Linked DNA regions of Cricetulus griseus. The protein of the gene in region 2 purifies or fractionates together with the protein of the main gene of each other region. This does not show direct contact. Links are inferred from orthologs where the notes say so. Each region holds a gene or a part of one and is shown on either strand. Other genes may lie near its edges.

Region 1 (4,076 bases), on a different chromosome or scaffold from region 2:
CTTGAGTCTCATCAGGAGACTTATATGTAACTCAGTTCACACTACAACTGTCCTGCAAAACCACCACAGTTGGGACCAGGCAAGGATACTAATAGTTTCAGAAGGGTCAGATAGATCAATGAGGCATCATCTTGAGTTTTCCCATAAGAGCTCTAAGGAAAAAAAAAAAAAAAAAAAAAAAAAAAACTCTATTGCTACAAATTTTACCACAGACTATTAGCTCTAATGTTTCAAAAAATAACTAAAATATTAACCTTAATACGGTACTCTATTGCCTTTAAAATAGAATTAAGTGTTTCGGTTTTCCAAAAAAAGTGTATCTTCACAGTTTGACATTCAGTTCAATATACAGCCAAAAATCTTTAAACTATCAATATTGTAACAGGCCACTTTCAATTTTAATGTAGTTCCCAGTTTACTCAATATTTATAAAATACAGCTAACAGAGTGCAGACATGTTATTATTGCTGTATCTTCCTATACCACCTTATTTGGTATGCTGTCCTCATTTCCAGGGTTTCTAGTGGAGTTAAGTGACAAAGTGAATAGGCCCACTCCCTCCACTCCCTATCCTCAATCAAAAAGAAAAAGGAAAACAGAAAGTAAAAAGACTAGAAATAGGACTAAGGTCCAGGGAGAGGGCAACCTTCAATCATTAAAGTATGGGAACACAGAAGACAGCTTTTTGCACCACTTTTCATGCCACACAATAAACACTGAAGGGATAACTAAGTACTTCCTAACCAAAAGCCTTTCAAGAAGCACCAGTGGATTTCTGGATCTGTTCCTTTAAAATCAAGATACTCTGCCTTTGCTCGGGAGGCAGCATGGCAATCTGATCTGCAGTCAGCTGAAGAACCTGCATGATCAAAGCTGCTTTTTCCTGATCTTGTGGAGTTACCTGACTTTGCCCAGGGCTAAAACTGCTAGGCTGGCCTCCACCTTGCTTACTCGATCCTTGTATCCCTGCTTGCATGCCTGCTCCCTGCATCCCCGCTTGCATGCCAGCTCCCTGCATCCCTGCTTGCATGCCAGCTCCCTGCATCCCTGCTTGCATGCCAGCTCCCTGCATCCCTGCTTGCATGCCTGCTCCCTGCATCCCTGCTTGCATGCCTGCCCCTTGCATGCTTGCTCCTTGCATTCCTCCTCCTTGTATACCTGCTCCCTGCATCCCTGCTCCTTGTATGCCTGCCCCCTGCATACCACCTCCAGGATTTCCCACTCCTGCAATGTTTGGAACCTGTCTAGGTCCCTGAGGGCCACCTGCCCCCATATTAATGGGGCCAGGACCCTGGATTCCACCAGTCATCGGGCCTCTGGAACTAGGGCCAGGGCCCCTCATCTCTAGTCCTCTTGCTTCCATCCCTCTGGTCTCCATTGCGCAGGTCTCCATTCTTCTCTCCATTCCTCGTGGCTCCAAGACCTCGGTTTCCATGGGTCGAGTCTCCATTCCTCGAGACTCTCTACCTCCTCTACCATCCATAGGTAGACCTCTTTGATCTATCATGGGACCTCTGGGCTCTCCAATTAGCATTCTGGGATCTGCTGCTAATGGTCCTCCTCTCATGTCATGCGAGGAAGGGCCACGGCTGTCATGACCATGGTGCATAGGGGGACCTTGGTGGGGTGGGCCCATATAACCTCTGGGTTCTACTTCTCCGGTAACTGAGAGCAAAGTCCCTCCGCGTGGGTCATTTGGAGCATCTCCCAGTAGTCCTCGAGGAGGAATGCCACCAGAAGGCATGGGTCCACGAGGCATTGGAGGTCTAGGATCTGACATCTGCATTTGTCCTCGCTCTAAGGGCACTGGCATGCCAACCTGTGGCTGCATTGCTCCTGCTGGAGTTAAGGAACCAGGTCCAGGTCCGGGAACTGCGGCTGGTATTGGTCCCGGAGCTGGAATTCCTCCTTGTATAGAAGTCTGCATCAGAGGAGGAATGTCCTTCACAGGTCTTCTTGGCAGATGTTGAGGCTGTGGGGCTGGAGGATTCTGTTGGTTCAGCATAACATTGGGTCCCGGGCAGAGCCCAGGGGCAGTGGCAGGGCCAGGGCCAGAGCCGGGGCCAGGGCCAGGACCACCTGGGCCAGGGCCAGGGCCAGGCTGAGATTTGCCTGGGATCAGTGGTGTGACATGTATCTTGCGATGCAAAATTTTCAGTGCAATCTCTGGATCCATGATCCTCATCACCACCTGGGCCTGCAGCAGGGCATACGCCAGTTGTGGGTTCTGAAGCAGCATGTTCCGCGCTTCCTGGTGGCTGTTTTGGACACACAACTTCATTTGCTTCATCAGCTCAAACATCTGCTCCGGGGGCAGGCTGGCGACTGCTCTCGTAATCGACTCTGGAGCATCTTCTGGATCAATCGGGTCCCCATAGGGGGAGTCGATGATGGGCGCTGCCGGGCCCAAGCTCTTTAACTCCTCCTTGTTCTTTTCACTGGCAGCATTGTCCACCCGAAGCGCTCTCCCACTAAATTCGCGCCCATTGAGGTTCCGCATGGCACTAAGCGCCGTCTCCTGGTCTTGGTACTCGCAGAAGCCATAACCCTTGGGCTTTCCTGTCTCTCTATCGTATACGAGACGGAAACTGACAACCGAACCAACCTCCGAGAAAATGTCCTTTAACTGCTCCTCCGTCGCCTCATACGGGATGTTCCCCACGAACACTGAGCGCAGTGAACGATCCATGGCTGGGTCTCTCACCGCCAAACTCGACATGATTCCGGTCGAGCACACAGCGGAGAGCAAATCCGTCCAAGAGCCGTCCTCTGGCGAGCCAACCACACTTCCCCTGTGTAACGGAAGCAGGTGTCAAACTCCGGGGAGAAACCTTTCCGCTATAAGTCCATAGTTCCGCTAGGCCGCAGAAACCGCTTCCTAAGACCGGACTAATTTATCTAACGCCTTCCGCCTCCGGTCGCGCGCTCTTCTGTCCGCGCCTGGTTACTGACAGCGTGTTTCCTCTCCATGATCTTATTGGTCAAATTTCTCCGGCGTCCCGCCCCCTCTTCCTGCCGTCACCGGATGCATTAGAACTGACCACATTAAAGATGGCCGACCGGGCTTCACTGTGGTAACCGTAGCGTCGGCCTTCCCAGAGGGATGGGGCGGTTTTTCTTTGCGTTCCACGAGCGGGAAACCGCCAAACGAAAGCTGATTTAAGGCTTAATGTTTAAATTTCTGATCCATGTGTTTTCACAGATGCTTCCGTTTAGTGTAGAATGTTTGAAAGATTTAAAATTTTGTTCCAGATTATGAGGTAAAATGTTGATACCTGTACCTTAATATTAAAACACCTCCTTAAATATCAATAAAAGAAAATTAATGCCCAGGGAGACAAACTAAAGCGTCTGTCAGCTTCAGCCCCGCCCCCACGCTATGGCTTGTTGAAACTGTTATAAGATGCAGGATCCTTTCAGGTTTTTCTCTGTGTGCTCAGGCAAAGTGCTCATTCCTCTACTTACTAATATTATGCTAAATTGGAATTAATTGAAAAGTATGGCCGAGAGTATAGATTTAATCGAATTAATTTAACTTTTATTGTGGACATTTAGGTAGTTTTGATTTTTAAGTTGTTCTCTTTGTATTTTATTTTGAGTTACGGTCTCTATGACGTGGAGTCTGTATAGTCCTGTGCTCTCCTGAAGTTCATGATCAGGCTGGCCGTAAACTCACAGAGATCCACCTGCTGCCTGCTTCTGCCTCTGGAGAGTGCTGAGATTAAAGGCATGCTCCACCACTGGTTTTGTTGTCCTTGTTGTTGTTTTGGGGGGTTTTTAGACAAGGTTTCTCTGTGTAGCCTTGGCTGTCCTGGAACACTCTCCATAGACCAGCCTGGCCTCCACTCACAGAGATCCGCCTGCCTCTGCCTCCCGAGTGCTGGGATTAAAGGCGTGCACCACCACTTGCCCAGCAGCATATGTTTTATATTTGGTTGTGAATTTATTCAACAAATCAAGATATCAGGTTACTAAAATTAGTTTTGCTGTCTTAACACAGGGCTCCTCTTCAGACCAGGTTGGCTAGGAATTCACTATGTATGTAGTTCAAATGGTCCTCCAATTTGCAGTCCTCC
Region 2 (4,321 bases):
TATCGGCCAGTCAGTTGTGGCACACACCTTTAATGCCAGCATTGGAGAGGCAGAGGCAGGTAATCTCTGAGTTTAAGGCCAGCCTGGTCTACAGAGCAAGTTCCAGGACAGGCTCCAAAGCTACAGAGAAACCCTGTCTCGAAAAACAAGACAAAACAAAAAGTACATCATTATGGAGCCAGGAGCACTGGAGAGAACTTAGGATCCTAGTACCACCTAGAGGTGGAAGTTTAGGGTCATCATCAGCTACAAACTGAATTTGAAGCTAGCCTGTCCTCAAACTTGTATAAGGCCCTATCTAGAAAAAATAAAACAGAAATATGGTATAACTAGATTTTGAGTGGGATAATGGTATGGTAGTTATATAACAGCACAAATGTCATTATATAAGAGAATGTTGAAATAGTTTGGACTGAAGTGTGATATGTTAGCTTTCAGGGAAATGTGTATGGAAAAAGAAAACATGTAGCAGAGGGCTTGCCAAACATGAGCAACACCCTTGATTTGAGCCACAGAACCACCATACACAAAAAATACATGTGTAAACACACATGTGTAAAACAATATATAAAATATATCACCACATACACATATATGACAAAACCTGTAACCATTGTTGGGTTCAATGAGAATTATAATAGGTGTTTACGAACTTCTTCTTCAACTTTTTTTGTTGTAAACTGCACAATAAAATTCAAAGGAGGCAAGCCTGAGTAAGAGTATTTTCCTGAATTAAAAAAAAAAAAAAAAAAAAGCTAGCTGTGGTGGTGTGCACTGTCTTTATTCCTAGTATTCAACAAGGCAGAGGCAGGCTATCTCCATTAATTCAAAGCCAGCCTGATTTACACAGTAAGTTCCATGCCAGTCAGGACCACACAGCGACATTGTCAAAATAAAAGGGGGGTCAGAAGATAAAGATTTTTAAATTTTTATTAAGACATCACATTTCTTGTTGAGACTATAACTCAGCAGTGGAACGCTTCCCTGAAAGCACAAGGCCCTGGGTTCAATCTCCAACTGGGGCGGAACAGGATGACACAAAACAAAAAACAGTTTTGTAAACAAAATTGTGGCAATAGTTTTGTCTTTACAATCTCATATAAAGCAATAAATTTCAGACACATCCAATATTTGCTTCACTTTCAGAAAACAAAAATAGCCCAGAAAAAGAATGGAGTAAAAGAAACAATTTTGATAAAATAATTCAAAGACATTTAATTCGTGAGCATCCCAACGTTAGATAAAGGGCAAAAGCATTGCCAATATTTCAAGGATGAAATCGGTCCTCAAGAAAACATGAATTTTGCTCTTTCCCAAAGTAATTAAATTTATAGACTACCCACACTTCATTAACAAATTTATGTCACCCATTAACCTCCAGTAGTTTCCAGTTATAAGCTGGGAACTTGAAAAAAAGAAAATACAAGCGTATTTCGTTGCTACACCAACAGAAAATTTAGGACTTCGCTGGACTACCTTTCTTTTAAAAAAAAAAAAGAAAAATACTAGGGGCCAGGTGGTGGTGGCGGCGGCGCACGCCTTTAATTCCAGCACTAGGGAGGCAGAGGCAGGCGGATCTCTGAGTTCCAGGCCAACTTGGTCTAACAGAATGAGTTGCCAGGACTGTTTCACAGAGAGACCCTGCCTCAAACCCCTCCCCCCAAAAAATACTAGGATCAAGATCGAAAAAAATCTTTCATAAAACCAGTTTCTTTTGTTTTTTACAATAAAAGGCAAATGTTATCCTACAAAATTCAGGCTATAAAAAGAGTAAAGAACCCAGCGTGGAGATGCTCGTCAGTATTCCCAGCTAATCCTAGCACGAAGCCAAGGAAGCAGACGTCACTAGGTCGCGCCTTGTCAGGGCAATACAGTAAAACCCTACCTTAAAAAAAAAAAAAAAAAAAAAAAAAAAAAAAAGCCAAAAGGAAGAGGGAAGATCTCATTTCTAAAACTCTGACTTTTAAAATACTTAAATATCACTCATAGCTACCATTCAAACAGCTGGCGCCTACAGTGACTAAAGCACATTTCCTGTTTCCAATGTATCAAACCCTGCAAAGTCTGCGTAGCCGCAAAAGTAAAAACAAAGTGTTCCTAGACCAGAGAGAAAGAAAAAAAAAAAAAGCGGGAGAAAAATCCACAAAATTCTCCCCAAAGCTCGGCATAGCCGTTCTCTGCTTCTGGAATGCTGCTTTTTACCTTCTAGATTGGTTTCGTTTCTATTTCTTGGGGGTGGGGGTGGGTGGAACTAGGGAGCAGAAGAGGGAAATATTGCCAAGACAGGTACACGTTAAAAAAAAAAAAATCCGAACTACCGGAACACCAAAATGGTATCAAATAAACCGTCCGGACCGAAGAATTGCGAAAACGGGGCGAAGCAACCTCCCAGCTGTTGTATGAGTCAAATGCTGGTCCTTATGAACGCCACGGAGAAAGCCAAAATGCTAGGAGCCCTCAGGGGGTGCTCTGGCGTCCCCGGCCCCCCGGGCTCACCAGACCTCCAGAGCCCCTCCTCACGCCAGCACCGCTGGAGTGTTCGCACCCACAGGGCCGGAGAGAGAAAGAGGTCGCCACGAGGCCCCACCGCTCTCGCTCCTCACCTGCTCCGCGGCTGCGTCTCCTGACATGGCCTCAGGGGATTACAGCGTACTCACTGGCCGGCAATGGGAAGCTAGAAAGGAAAAATTAAGCTAAAAACAACCCCCTAAAACCAGTAACACTACCCCCTGCCCAGCACAGCCAGAGCCGCCACACGATTCGCCACCGCCCACTCAGATATGAATTAAAATGGCTGCGCCCCAGCCGGCTGAGGGGTGTGAGGCGCTTCCGTATTCACTTCCGGGACAATGGGCGGGGCTAGGACTCAACTCCCGGATTCTTAGGCGTGCACAAGCGCAGAGTCATCACCAGGGGCGGGCTCAAGGCAGGAGCTATCGTCACGTCCCGGAACTGATGACGCCGCGGCCCAGATTTCCGAGGGCGACCCGAAAGATCCCGTCTATTGGTCTGGCATCTCCCGCGCTTCTTGGAATTTAATTACTGAGTTGCAGAGCCGGGCCCCTCCCTGTTGAAACCTGTCTGCCAATCAGTTCAGGTCAGGCAAACTGACCATTTTAGGAAGCAGCGTTGGGGGTCAGTGAAACGCCTCTCATGTTTAGGGAATAAGCATTCTGTGGTCTTGGCTAATGCTCTTTCTTTTCTTGGGGATGAGAGGAACATATCAAGTCCGTATTAACTTTTGCTGTCACCATTCCTTATTAGACTGGGATTTTAGCTTAAGCATGTCACCATGGTTTGTTGTCTGCAAAACCGGTAAGAGCGCACAACGGATGTTGCTTTGAATCCAGACTGCTCACCTCTCTAGAGGTAGGCAATTTGCGTTCTCTGTGTCACAGTTTCCTTGTCTATAGATAGGAATAACAACAGCAGCTGACTACATTCTAATGGTTTGTCCTTATACCCACAGGTGTTGGCTCACGCCCTTAATCCCAGCACTCAGGGTGGGAAGTTGAGGCAAGCGGATCTCTTTTGAGTTGGAGGCCAGCCTCATCTACAGAGCTAATTCCAAGACAGCCAGGGTTACACAAAGAAATCCTGTCTCGAAAAACAAATAAATAAAATTAAAAATAAAATTTATTTAAATAAATAAAATTTAAGAAACAAAATTTTATTTAAATAAATAAAATTGAAAAAAGAAAGAAAAGAAATGAAAAAGAAATTTCTCTTTGCAACAGACAATTACCGAAAACCACAAACAATCAAAATTCAGTTGTGGGGTACAATCCCAACAGATATATCTACAATATAACCCTCGAACCTAAGATAAGGAGTCATTGTGCAAGAGAAAGGTAGAAAATTTTAAATGTCAGAGGAACACAGAATTTGCTGTGAGTTTGCATCTCCTAAGACTGTCAAAAGCTACATCCATAAACCTCACCAGCATGACTGCCTACACATGAGCTGAGCAAGTATAACAACAATAGAGAAAACAAAGGGGATAGGGGAAAACTCAAAGGCCTCAGCCCTACACAAAGAACTGCTATAAGCAACCAAGAAATGCTGAGAATACCTACTGATTATCCAATACCAGATGGTCAGCCCTGAAAATATACATACAAAGCATACAGGGTGGGCAGATTGTATTTATGTATTTAGGAATATATATGTTTATACATACATACAGTTATAACAACACTTACTGAGAAAAGATGGTATGAAAAGAAATGTATTGAGACAGGATCTCACTATGTAGCTCTGGCTGTCCTGTCACTCACTCTGTAGACCAGACTGCCCTCAAACTCACAGAGATCCACCTGCC

The links.
Region 1: the proteins of Cstf3 (region 2) and Cstf2t purify together in Homo sapiens (co-immunoprecipitation; 4 studies listed by BioGRID and IntAct, counting the BioPlex papers as one, with this or other methods). This does not show direct contact. The link is inferred for Cricetulus griseus from reciprocal best matches to the Homo sapiens genes CSTF3 and CSTF2T.

The regions. Positions count from the first base shown.
Region 1 is NC_048596.1:30,364,206-30,368,281, forward strand, and holds the start of Cstf2t (cleavage stimulation factor subunit 2 tau variant), read right to left. Parts: upstream 2,824-4,076; 5' UTR 2,720-2,823; coding exon 755-2,719; 3' UTR 1-754. UniProt on the Homo sapiens protein: May play a significant role in AAUAAA-independent mRNA polyadenylation in germ cells. Directly involved in the binding to pre-mRNAs.
Region 2 is NC_048599.1:73,080,876-73,085,196, forward strand, and holds the start of Cstf3 (cleavage stimulation factor subunit 3), read right to left. Parts: upstream 2,831-4,321; 5' UTR 2,631-2,830; coding exon 2,604-2,630; intron 1-2,603. UniProt on the Homo sapiens protein: One of the multiple factors required for polyadenylation and 3'-end cleavage of mammalian pre-mRNAs.